Linked DNA regions of Ovis aries. The protein of the gene in region 2 binds, or shares a complex with, the protein of the main gene of each other region. Links are inferred from orthologs where the notes say so. Each region holds a gene or a part of one and is shown on either strand. Other genes may lie near its edges.

Region 1 (3,563 bases), on a different chromosome or scaffold from region 2:
CCCTGCACGCTTGCCTGACGGTCTTTTCCATCTCCCGCCCTTGACTGCCTGCCGCCGTCTTCTAACGTCTGTATCTCGTAATGAGATCCGCTGTCGGATCCAGTAAATCTTGTCCCCAATTTATTCGCAGTTTTACGGGCCCTACAGAACATCCTGTCAAAACTCATCGCATGTTGACTTTGCGGCGTTCGATTCGGAAGCTAGTGTGGCGTCCACGTTTTGAGTTTTTAAAACGCAGAAAATGTGGCACAAGCTAGGAGAGCCGAGGTCTGTGCTCGCCGGCCAGCCTCCACTCACTGTGTGACCCTAAACCCGGTTCATTATCTGTGCTTCAAATCCCCACATTGAAAATAATCCCTGCTTGTCTTGCTCTGGCTGGACCTGACAGACTACGTTCTGAAGGCTGAGGCAATGGAGTTAAATGAGAAGATACTTGTATGGGTGGGAGGAAAAGTAAGATATTTTCTTGACTGGACAGTCCCTCTGCATTAATTACAGTAAGAAGTAGTATTTGAAAAGATTACAGATTTATTTACATTTTAAACAGGACAAGAAATCATTTCCCCACCCTAGTTAATATTTACAGGTTATTTCAACTGGAAACAAAAAAATCAAAACATAGCAACCCTAGGTAACTTAATCATGTCCCCTTTATCTCCCCAGCAACCCCCCTTCACCGTATTTATTACATGCTTGCTGCTCTCTCTTCACTCTGCCCTCTCAGATGAGCCAAGACTGCAGGGACAGCAGCTCAACTAGGAAAAGTCACAGTCTGCTCCAAGTTTTTCCATGTACCGGGTCAAAAAGGAAGCAGTCACCGAGCTGGTCCTCAAACATGTGGACTGAATTACTTTGAATGAGGTGACTAAAAGAATGAATAGATAGTGGCTAAAGGGAACAATTAAGAATGACCATTTATGGGGGGAGGGGGAGGCAGTATTGCTGCATTAGTGTAGGTCAGAAGCAGGGTTCTCTAAAAACTCTGCAGCCATTTATTTACAGACATTCTAAACGGTTATATTTAAAATTTGTTAAACAGTTAATACACTAAAAATATGAAGTCAACTGTTTACGATACTAAAAACTGTTTATGACACAAGATATTTTAAAAAGCAAATCTGGGAATTCAATTCCCTTTTGACTCCAGTGATCAATTTCTTGAGACCACAGATGTCTGGGAAACCAGTCAGTCTTTCACGAGGAACTGGCTTCTGTTCAGCTTTCCCCTCTCCCTGAGGTACACGAAGAGGTGTCGTCGCCTCCTCCATGTGACCTTTATCCCGTACTTCTCCTCTGGGGTGTCTTTAACCAGAACAGGCCCAGGCTCTGGGCTCTTCGGCGTGCTCGAGTGAAGGGAACAGCTGGGAAGGCTGTTTTCCCTCAGTTCAGAGGGAATGGGCTCTCCCTGCCCCGGGGATCCTGGGGTCTGGATGTCCGGGGGAATGAATGCACATGGGAAGTCTGGAAATGTGTGTGCCGACAGCTCCCTGCAGCTCTGGGGGCTGAGCATGGGCACTAAGGGCCTTCCGGAAATGTCCTTTTCTGGTTGACTGGGGCCATCCCCGATTGCCGGGATCCTGGGTGTGGCTGAACTGGCAAAAGACTGTGGAGTCTCAAACGTTAGACATGGAAACCTGGAGCTGGTAGATTTTCGACTTGAACGCCTTGCATGGTCTCGAAGATGATGCTTCCGGTTGCCTGGGAACCAGCTTTCTGCTGTTGTATCAAACTGAGGTGATACCTAAGGATTCCAAAAGAAAGACATAAATGGGAAGCATGCTAACCTAAGGAAACTGCATCAGATGGCCAGAATCCTAAATAGAGGCCCACAACAGCAATGGACTTAAAACAGCTGCCTAGGGACTTCCCTGGTGGCACAGTGAATAAGAACCTGCCTGCCAACGCAGGGGACATGGGTTCGATCCCTGGTCTGAGAAGATCCCACATGCTGCAGGGCAACTAAATCCATGCACCACAACTACCAAGTCCAGCTCTAGAACCCAAGAGCCACAACTGCTGAAGTTTGAGCACCTAGAGCCCGTGCTCCACAACAAGAGAAGCCACCACAGTGAGAAGCCTGTGCATTACAATGAAGAGCAGCCCCTGCTGGCTGCAGCTAGAGAAAGCCCAGGTGTAGCGGCAAATACCCAGCACGGCCAAGAAAACAACAGCTCTCTGTCTTACTGGATAACCATAGGAAGGGATGCGGGCTTTGGGCAAGTTTCTCAGTCTCCCTGGCTTCATCACACCCTATGGCTGCAACACATTTAACCATCTCCCTTTCAGTTCTGAGGGTGGGCCCAGCTGTCTTCTTCACCACTGATGCCTAGCACCTAGCAGAGCGCCTGGCACCTAGAGGACCCCAGTGTAGGAAGAAAGGGCTGAAGGCAGACCAGTGAGTGAGATCAGGCAATGGAGAGCAGCGAGCAGAGCCTGGCGCATGGTGAGGACTCCGTACGCCTCTGTGTGCTCATGCCTCCTCCCACCAACAGCGCTCCAACATCTACGCTTCCTCCCCACTCCTGAAGCCAGGGGTCCAGTTCTCCCCAACAATCCTGGACCACATCTGTTAGGCGCTCTGGGGCAGAGCTCAGGCTTTTGTCTGGCTCTTCTGCTACACCACTTTCTGATATCCTGTAGCTGTGTTCTCTTCCTGGGGCTTCTAAACTGTCAAGACAGAACACATGCCATTTCTGAGAGTTTTTCTTCACTGTTTGGTCCATTAAACAGTAAACAGAAGGACTTTCCTGGCAGTCCATCATTTGGGACTCTCCATTTCCAATGCAGGAGGTGTGCATTCCAGCCCTGGTTGGGGAGTTAAGATCTCACAGGCCTTCTGGCCAAAAAGAACCAAAGCATAAAATAGAAAAAATGTTCTAACAAATTCAATAAAGACTTTTAAAATGGTCCACATTAAAAAAAAATCTTTAAAAAAAACCCCAAAACAGTAAATAGACTACTTAGCTAAAAATTCCACCTCTAACATGAAGCTCAGGAAACAATCTCATTTTTCATTCATTCTGCCATTTATCTGGCTTTCTCACCCGGCTTTTCTGGATACTTTTATACTGAACTCTTTCAGGGGCACTGGTGCGGAAAGACTCCAATTCCAGTCCACCCATGCCTGAGCCTGAACTTAGGCGAAAGGATACAGCAGAGAAGATGGCTGAGGACAGCGGGAGAGTGAACACTGCCTCCTTGTCGCTGAGTCCGTGAGGCTCCTAATTCTTTGGCAGCCCTGGTCACGGGGCAGAGTACGCACTCTTGAGAAGCCTGGCAGAGCAGAAATCAAGGCAGGAACCCTACCCAGGAAGTGATGGTGTTGTGGTCCACAGGCTTGCTGGGCACCTGTCTAGTGCGGGTGACCACGGGAGGCTGGGGAGATTGACCGCGGTGTTTGGGGCCCTCCAGTGGTTGTTGGTGGAATAGCAGCTGGGGTTTCTGAGCAGCTTGGCGGCGCTTTTTCCTGGGAGGCATCAACGGGTGAGAGAAGAGCAGTTAGCAACTGCATGATGCTGGCTGTCGGCAGGTCCGGGGAGAGGCTCCACTTCCAACCCATGCCT
Region 2 (3,544 bases):
ATGACCTGGACCTCATCTGCCGGGCACACCAGGTGGGCTGGCAGCCCCCATCTGGGTTAGAGCAGGGCTGGCAGCCAGCTCCTGCTGAACTAACCGCCTCCACCCTCGTCCAGGTAGTAGAAGACGGCTACGAGTTCTTTGCCAAGCGGCAGCTGGTGACACTCTTCTCAGCCCCCAACTACTGCGGCGAGTTTGACAATGCAGGTGCCATGATGAGCGTGGACGAGACGCTCATGTGCTCCTTCCAGGTGGGGGTCGGGCCGGGGGCAGGCAGGCCCAGGGACTTACGGCTTGACCCCTTAAGCCTGACCAGTTTTTCTCTTCTAGATCCTCAAGCCCGCCGACAAGAACAAGGGGAAATATGGGCAGTTCAGTGGCCTGAACCCTGGAGGCCGGCCCATCACCCCACCCCGCAACTCCGCCAAAGCCAAGAAATAGCCTCCGTGTGCCCGCCCTCTGCCCCAGATGGTGGATTGTACAGAAATCATGTGGCTACAGGGGGCTCGTGCTGGCCCCCCAGGCCCACCCATCACGGGGAACATGGAGGCTTGGTGTATTTTTCTCTTTTTTTTTTATGAATCAATAGCAGCATCCAGTCCCCCAGGGGTCTTCCCGCTTGTACCTACAGCGGCTGCAGGCAGGATCCTGGGGCTAAGGCTGCAGCTCAGGGCAAAGCAGGGCCAGATTGGGGATCTCCAGCCTTGCTTGGCCTCAGGGCTGGCAGCCGGATCCTGGGGCAACCCATCTGGTCTCTTGAATAAAGGTCAAAGCTGGATTCTTGCCATAGCCTGTCTCCCTTGTCCCAAACACTGGGCCTGGCAACTCTTCCGCCCAGAGCCACTTGGGAGGCTTGCTGGGCTTCGGGCCCCAGCCAGGAAAACCCCAGCCACGTGCCCAGGTCCGCAGGGGCTCTTGGAATTTCCAAGCCAGGGCCAGAGAGTTCAGGGAAAGCAAGCAGTGTGTGCCAGTCACAGGGGATCCCAGTGGTGTGCTCAGGATTTGAGGGAGGGACAGGTCATGATTGGCAGAAGGTGGATCAGCAGGGGCAGAAGCCCTACAATGATTTCTTTGTTTCTTAGGGAGGTGGGCTTAGAGAAGGCAGTCCTCCAGTTCTGGCCACAGAACTGGATTAAGAGGTGAGGGAACTCCCTGCAGAGGGCAGCTCAGCACCGAGACTGGGAACAGACATGATAGATTGAGGGTTGAATGAAAGATTTGAGGGTTGAAGGGAAACAACAAGACCCAGGCCAGTCAAGGCCCTGGGGGAGGTGGTGGGACCAGTCAGCTAAGCTCCAGCAGGGCGCATCTCTACCACCCACCAAGGAGGAGAGCGGACCTGCCGTGGCTGGCCTTGGGAGAGGGGTGGGGTGGGGCTTCATCGGGCCCCTTCTTGGCTCGGCTTAGCCTTCGCCCTCACTGTCCTCAGCCAGCACAGGGCTGGGGCCCTGGGGAGAGTGTGCAGGGGCCAGGATGGAGCCAAAGAACAGCGAGCGGAACTGGCGAGAGAACAGAGGAAGCCTGGTGAGTTTGGAGGCTGCTCCCGCCCTCCGCCTCTCATCCCAGCCTCTGCCTCCTGCTTAGTCGCTTGTGGTGTCTGACTTTGCAACCGCATGGACTGTAGCCCACCAGGCTTCTCTTTGTCCATGGGGATTCTCCAGGCCAGAATCCTGGAGTGGGTTGCCATGCCCTCCTCCAGGGGATCTTCCCCACCCAGGGAGTGAACCCAGGTCTCCCACGTGGCTGACAGAGTCTTTCCATCGGAGCCACCAGGGAAGCCCTTCCGCCTCTCGCCCCTACCTTCTTAGGTGGGGGAGTCCCAGGCACTGTGCTGGGCTCCATGTCGTCATCTTCCTCTGAGTGGGGGCTGGAGCTACAGGGGCGCTGGAGGCCAGGTGAAAGGGAGATGGAGGGCAGTGCCCGAGAGCCCTCACTGCCCATGGTGGTTTCCATGGCGATCATGTAAGAGTCCATGTCATCGACAGCAAAGTCATCCAGGTCTACGTGGGGCGTGCTACAGGCAGACACGGTATCAGCGGTGGGGACACAGTTAGGGCCCCCACCTGGAGGGCTCAGCCAGGGCCTGCAGGAGCCTAGTAACCATTAGTGACCTCTTGGTTTTATTACTTCCTGATTTGGTGGGAGGGGAAAGGATGGGGGGCGGTGTTTTAAGTGGCCCCTTCCGGGAGGGGGTCGACCCGAGAATTCTTTTATCAGAGTTCAGGTAGAGGCCTGAGGGAGGCATACTGGGGGCCGCTTCAGCTCGGCTGGGGGAGGGGAGCGGCAAGTCCAGTGAGCTGGGCCACCTGGGGCCCAAGCCCCCACATTCCCAGAGGACAGGAACTGGAGAGCGCTGGGGCCCAGGGACATGCTGGGCAGAGGGCCAGGCCAAACTTCCTCCACTTAAACTACGCTGGGCCCATCCTCCCCAACCCACCTGCCCTTTCAGCCACCTGCTTTCCCCATCCCAGGCAGCCCCCTGCCTCTCGGCAGCCCTTTTCCCTCCTTGGCTTGGGAGGAGGCCTCAGCCAGAGAAGGAAGCCAGCCCGACCTTGGGGACACTTCCCTGGGTTGGGGGATCTCTGAATACAGCTGACTGGTTAGGCTCAGCCTGCAGGGCTGGAAGCAGTGAGCACTGTAGGGGCTGGGGCTCAATAGGAAGTGGAGATGGGAGGCGCATGGGGTGGGGGCTGCAGACTAGAAGCGGGGGGCTGCAGACTAGAAGCGGCAGGCTGCAGCCTGGGTGCACAGGGTGAGAAGGGGGGTGGGCGGGCGGAGCTCTCACCTGTGAGCCTGAAGCTGGGGCTCTGGCCGCTGGAGCTCCTCTTGGGCATGCAGGGTCTGGGGGTGCGAGTCCAGCTCTGAGAGTGTGGCCAGGACAAAGTGGCCGTCCAGCAGAGAGTCCTCGATGGCAAAGATGGCTGGCCTGGGCAGGTGACAGGTCCAGGCGTGGTCAAGGCCCTTTGGCTTTTGGCACCCCAGAGCCCTCCCCTCCCTATCCCAAGGCTGGACCTTACCTGCCTGGGGCATCAAAGTGAATGCTGAGGGACAAGTTGGCTGACTCTGCAAAGCTCAGGAGCCCCTGGGAAGGGAGAAGCAGAGCATGGAGGCTGGGCAGGGAGGAGAGGTGGACGGGGCGGTGAGCGCACGGCAGGAACCTCACCCGGAATTCCTTGAGGCAGAAAGTGATGGCCACCCCTTCCTGGGCCTGCAACTGCTGGAAATCCTCCTCTCCGATGCTCATCTCTGTCACCATGGCTTTGATGGCGCTGTCTTGGGGGGCAGTGACAGGAGGAAGCTGGGCTCTGCCCCAGCCAGCCTGTCTCTGCTCTCTGCACCCTCCCCACCCAGTCTCTGCTCTCTGCCCCAAGCCCCATCGGTCCCCTCACCTGCCTCCTCCTCTTGGTAGCTACGCAGGATGACCCTGCGGCCACGGCCGATGCCCAGCGTCACTTCAGCCAGTGCAGGGGGGAAAGGCAGAACAGCCTCCACCAGGACCCTGTGAGGGGGCATAGTATCTCACCCGAGGCTCAGTCCTGCCCAGTGG
Region 3 (4,138 bases), on a different chromosome or scaffold from region 2:
ACTGCAGAATTACTATCAGTGTTGTCAACTACAAATTGGCACTTACCAACAGCATTGCCAAGGACTGAACAACAAAGGCGTTTGCCATCTGCCTCTACGGAGATTGAACCCCATGCTGCTAAAGCTGTTGACCTTCAACAACCTCTGAGGGAGTTTAGGGTGGAGTGAGGCACTCTTGTGTTCCAAGGAGTCTGGTGGGACAGGTCTTTAAATAGCTGGATGTTTTTAGGAACAGATTTTACGGTCTCAATCCTTGTAGCTCCTCGTATCTAGAGATATCAGATCCTCGTGACGAACAAAAAACCTTTTGTAAAATGAGTGTTTCATGGTATTGAACTCCCCCTTCACCAAAACCTTATATATTGACTCTCTGCCACTGCCGCTTTGGAGTAGTCTCTCAGAACTATCTGAGATGGGAGAGCTATCTGCAGCCTCCAGGGCTGCAGTCCTCATTTTGCCCCAAATAAAATTCACAACTCTCAAGTTTTACATCTTTTTTTAGTCAACAGTGTTGTTTACAACATCCAGTGTTTAGCACTGTTTGTTAAAACAAATTTCAAAGCATAATCCAACGTGGTGCTACAGTGCTGAGGTACCAGTGTGAATGTCTGAGCCATGAAAGGTTCTAAAGCTCCCCTACCACAGAGCGGTGTGTATTTAAGGAATAGCTTAACACTTTATAAATAAGAGACTTGTCAGGGGAGTGTTATCTCCTCGGTTCCGTCTTGTCACAACAAAAATTTGCAGCGACGGACGTTAAAGCGTGCCACAGCTCTCAGACTGTGTTATAGCTCTCAGCTAGACCATGTTATAGCTCTTGGACAGATCAGTGTTACAGCTCAGTTTTATTTAGAAAATAAAAGGAAATATATCCTCAAGGCATGAGGGCATGACGACCCAAAAGACGCTAAGAGAAGAAAGAGCAAGCACGCGCGCTTGGGAGACCCCCGGCCCTTTGGCTCCTCTGTTTATAGGTATTTTCCTTCCCCTGGGAACTTCCCTATTTAAATTGGGCTAGCCAGGAGTGCTGTTTTTTCTACCTGAAGTCCTCACTCTGGTCCTTGAACCTTCCTTTGTTCTATTTTCGCGGGCTTTTCCCTTCCTTGTTTTTTAGCCACCGCCATTCTGGACTCCTTTTTCCTATTCTAACTACCTAGCAAGACTGATTTTATTTCCTATGTTCTAAAACAGAATTGGAAATAAGTTAACACAAAGCTCAACCTGTAAAAACTCAGAGGCACTTCCGGTACCAGAATCGCGTCACTTCCGGCAGAGTTCCCGTCATCCCGAGTGCGCCAGCGGAAAAGCCCGCCTACTCTCCGCAGGCGCGTCTCAGGCCCAAGTGGGCTGAACCCAGTACTGCGGTGGCGTTTCCCGCGGGCTAGTTAAGGCGGGACTCTCACGAGTCCGGTGCGGACGGGCTCCTGGCGCTTGCCATGTCCAGCCATGAAGTTTCGGGCCAAGATCGTGGATACCGCCTGTCTAAACCACTTCACGCGTGAGTAGGGGCCGCGTCAACCCTGGGGTCGGGGAGGACTGCAGAGGGCAAGGCGGGAGGCTTGCACGGAGCGGTGCGTGCGGCCGGTCCCCGCGAAGAGGCTGGCGCGCTGCACAGGCTGGCCAGCAGCAGCTTGACGCGGGCGCAGGTGCTGAAGGTTGTTTATGAGCTTTGATTCCTTTCGCGTGGCTTTTCTTAACTCGGCCAGTGGCTTCATGGACCACTTTATCTGGCGCAGGCCGCCCTTCACAGCCAGGCTCCGTGGTCCCCCTGCCCCAGCCGTGTCTGTCCTTGCCTTGATCCCTGCAGCACTCGGCGGCCCCGAGTGGACGTGAAAGGGAAGAAAGCGGCCAGTAGGCGCCAGTTAACCTCCGAGTCTCAGTTTCCTTATTCCAGGTTGTTGGGAGGCCAGCTTGACCCCAGCGGCAATAAAAGCCTCCCGGTAGGTAGGAGTGGAAACGTTGACTTTCCCGCTGGGAAGCTCACTGTGCGCAACTGGTAATTCTGCGCTAAATTGGTGTTTTGGATACCTAACGTACCTCTCAGTCAACTCTTTACTGAAACCTTTTGCTATAGGCGTTAGTAACATGATAGCCAAGCTTGCCAAAACCTGCACTCTGCGCATCAGCCCGGATAAGTTGAACTTCGTCCTCTCTGACAAAGTGGCCAATGGAGGGGTGAGCATGTGGTGTGAGCTGGAACAGGTGAGTGGAGGCTCCTGAGAGGCCTGCAGCCCACCCCTCTTCCCCCACCCTCGCCGAATTCCAATGGAAAGCGCGCAAATGTCCCTCCTCCTTTTCTTTCCCTTAGGAGAACTTCTTCAGCGAATTTCAAATGGAAGGTGTCTCCGCAGAAAACAATGAGATTTATTTAGAGCTCACATCGGAAAATTTATCTCGAGCCTTGAAAACTGCCCAGAATGCCAGAGCTTTGAAAGTTAAGCTGACTAATAAACACTTTCCCTGCCTTACAGTTTCTATAGAGCTGGTGAGTAGGAAGCTACCATTTCTGAAACTTCCCAGGAATTAGTAGTTATATAAGCCTTGGCTTTCTACTGGAGAAGCTAATTGGTTTTATTAAAAGGAGAGATTGGTACATCACTATTTTTTCATTGGAGTTGGGTCCTCCTCGTATTTAAATAGCATTGTGATCTCAAAATCAGCGAGGATGCTGGTCTTCCTATGAAATAACACTTCTGCATCTTTCTTCTCAGATCTGCATATCCCAGCATGTCCATTTCTTTTAGTGGTATTGTCGTCTAGTCTAAAAACCATTTTTGCCTTTGAAGTGTTTGTGTGTCCCTCCCTTATTCCCTCACTTCTGCTGCTAACACCTTTAAATGACCTTTAGTTTTCAAGGAATACATTTATCTTCCACCCTACTCCCAGCTGAATTTAATGCACTGGTCTCTTCAGAACACATGTACTCCACAGGGTCTCACTGCTTACAGAATGAGGTTGACATTTCTCATGTGCTGTCCAAAGCCTTTCAAGTGTCGCTCAACCCACTGTAGAGCCACTTATCTGCCCTGAGTGGGTGCCCAGGTGTGTCCCATTCGTTCCCAACTCCCAGGCTTTGGTGAGGTTGGGTCATCTCCTTGGACTCTGTGTTCTTCTCACTTGTTGAAGCCTTTTCTTCCTCTAGTGCCCAGCACCAATGCTGCCTCCTTCCCTTATCCTGGTAACCTCTCCTTTGTCTGTTCTGTGTACTTTATTTTTTCCGTGAGTATTATATTCAGTTTTATGCTCTTTATGGAGGAGGATTTCTCAACTGTATTTTTTAATTAAACTATAGTGGTTTTACAGTGTTGCACTGTTAATTTATGCCTTACAGCAAAGTGATTGAGTTATACATATATAAGTATTCTTATTTAAGTATTCTTTTCTATCCCGGTTTATCTCAGGATATTGAATATAGTTCCCTGTGCTATGCAGTAGGACCTTGTTGTTTATTCACTCTATATGTAATGGTTTCCATCTGCTAATCTCAAACCCCTAGCATCTTAAGGCGATTTCTGGCGGCCTCCTCCAGTCCTCTCTTTAGGTCTGATTTCTGAAGCTTGAGCATCAGCTCACAGCTTCTGCCTACACGGTTGGACGTGTGTCTGAGGCTGGGAGTGTGGGGAAAGTGGCATCACCAGTCTGTGCAGGGCTGTCTTCATTCTGCCTTCTGTAAACTGCTTAACTGCACTCTCCTCCAAGGCTCCACAGCTCACCCTCTGTCCCTGCTGGTCTCCCTGCCTTCCTGTGAGGGGACAGTCAGGGTATGGGAACCTTTATTCCTTCATAGCTCTTTCTCCCTGGGGTGCAGGCCCCGTCCTGATTCCTTTCTGGTTTTTTTTGTTGTTACATGAAGATTTTCTTGTCCTTTCTGAAGCCTGAGTTCTTCTGCCATGTTTCAGTAGATGTTCTGTGAGAATCATTCCATGTCTAGATATGTTTTTGATGTGTTTGTGGGAGGAGTGAGCTCCATGTCCTACTCCTCCACCGTCCCAATCACTCTCTTCTTTAACTTCCTTTTTCTAAGCTCTGTTAATACTTGTTGAATGGACGTTGGTGACTGAATTGAGAACACTTAGGTTTGGTATCAACATTTTTTGTCTTTCAGTTCTTTATTTTTTAAGTAGTGATGTGTTTTAAT

The links.
Region 1: the proteins of RAD9A (region 2) and RHNO1 are in contact, whole or in part, in a crystal structure (PDB 8WU8), measured with the Homo sapiens proteins. The link is inferred for Ovis aries from reciprocal best matches to the Homo sapiens genes RAD9A and RHNO1. Residues at the interface, in NP_004575.1 of Homo sapiens: Val41, Ser44, Arg45, Ser46, Ala47, Tyr48, Glu130, Leu132, Gln133, Ala134, Val135, Glu165, Tyr181, Glu183, Thr216, Phe217, Cys218, Gly244, Pro246, Val261, Leu262, Ala263, Thr264, Leu265, Ser266; in NP_001239428.1 of Homo sapiens: Thr88, Lys90, Phe91, Pro92, His93, Leu94, Thr95, Phe96, Glu97, Ser98.
Region 3: the proteins of RAD9A (region 2) and HUS1 are in contact, whole or in part, in a crystal structure (PDB 3GGR), measured with the Homo sapiens proteins. The link is inferred for Ovis aries from reciprocal best matches to the Homo sapiens genes RAD9A and HUS1. Residues at the interface, in NP_004575.1 of Homo sapiens: Leu157, Pro158, Pro161, Val176, Ala186, Lys191, Ala192, Met193, Val194, Thr195, Glu196, Met197, Cys198, Leu199, Gly200, Asp203; in NP_004498.1 of Homo sapiens: Thr84, Asn87, Arg90, Ala91, Lys93, Thr94, Phe110, Ser121, Ser123, Ser126, Arg127, Ile128, Val129, Thr130, His131, Asp132, Ile133, Pro134, Ile135.

What each region holds. Positions count from the first base shown.
Region 1 is NC_056056.1:212,716,061-212,719,623, forward strand, and holds the end of RHNO1 (RAD9, HUS1, RAD1-interacting nuclear orphan protein 1), read right to left. Parts: intron 3,562-3,563; 5' UTR 3,478-3,561; coding exon 3,307-3,477; intron 1,742-3,306; coding exon 1,187-1,741; 3' UTR 509-1,186; downstream 1-508. UniProt on the Homo sapiens protein: Involved in microhomology-mediated end-joining (MMEJ) DNA repair by promoting recruitment of polymerase theta (POLQ) to DNA damage sites during mitosis.
Region 2 is NC_056074.1:41,696,452-41,699,995, reverse strand, and holds the end of RAD9A (cell cycle checkpoint control protein RAD9A), read right to left. Parts: intron 3,497-3,544; coding exon 3,387-3,496; intron 3,271-3,386; coding exon 3,015-3,270; intron 2,924-3,014; coding exon 2,783-2,923; intron 2,012-2,782; coding exon 1,798-2,011; intron 1,497-1,797; coding exon 1,401-1,496; 3' UTR 555-1,400; downstream 1-554. Other genes in the region: PPP1CA (serine/threonine-protein phosphatase PP1-alpha catalytic subunit), read left to right, coding at 1-32, 114-248, 328-438. UniProt on the Homo sapiens protein: Component of the 9-1-1 cell-cycle checkpoint response complex that plays a major role in DNA repair. The 9-1-1 complex is recruited to DNA lesion upon damage by the RAD17-replication factor C (RFC) clamp loader complex.
Region 3 is NC_056057.1:76,188,235-76,192,372, forward strand, and holds the start of HUS1 (checkpoint protein HUS1), read left to right. Parts: upstream 1-1,297; 5' UTR 1,298-1,446; coding exon 1,447-1,498; intron 1,499-1,807; exon of another isoform or gene 1,808-1,940; intron 1,941-2,074; coding exon 2,075-2,202; intron 2,203-2,308; coding exon 2,309-2,485; intron 2,486-4,138. UniProt on the Homo sapiens protein: Component of the 9-1-1 cell-cycle checkpoint response complex that plays a major role in DNA repair. The 9-1-1 complex is recruited to DNA lesion upon damage by the RAD17-replication factor C (RFC) clamp loader complex.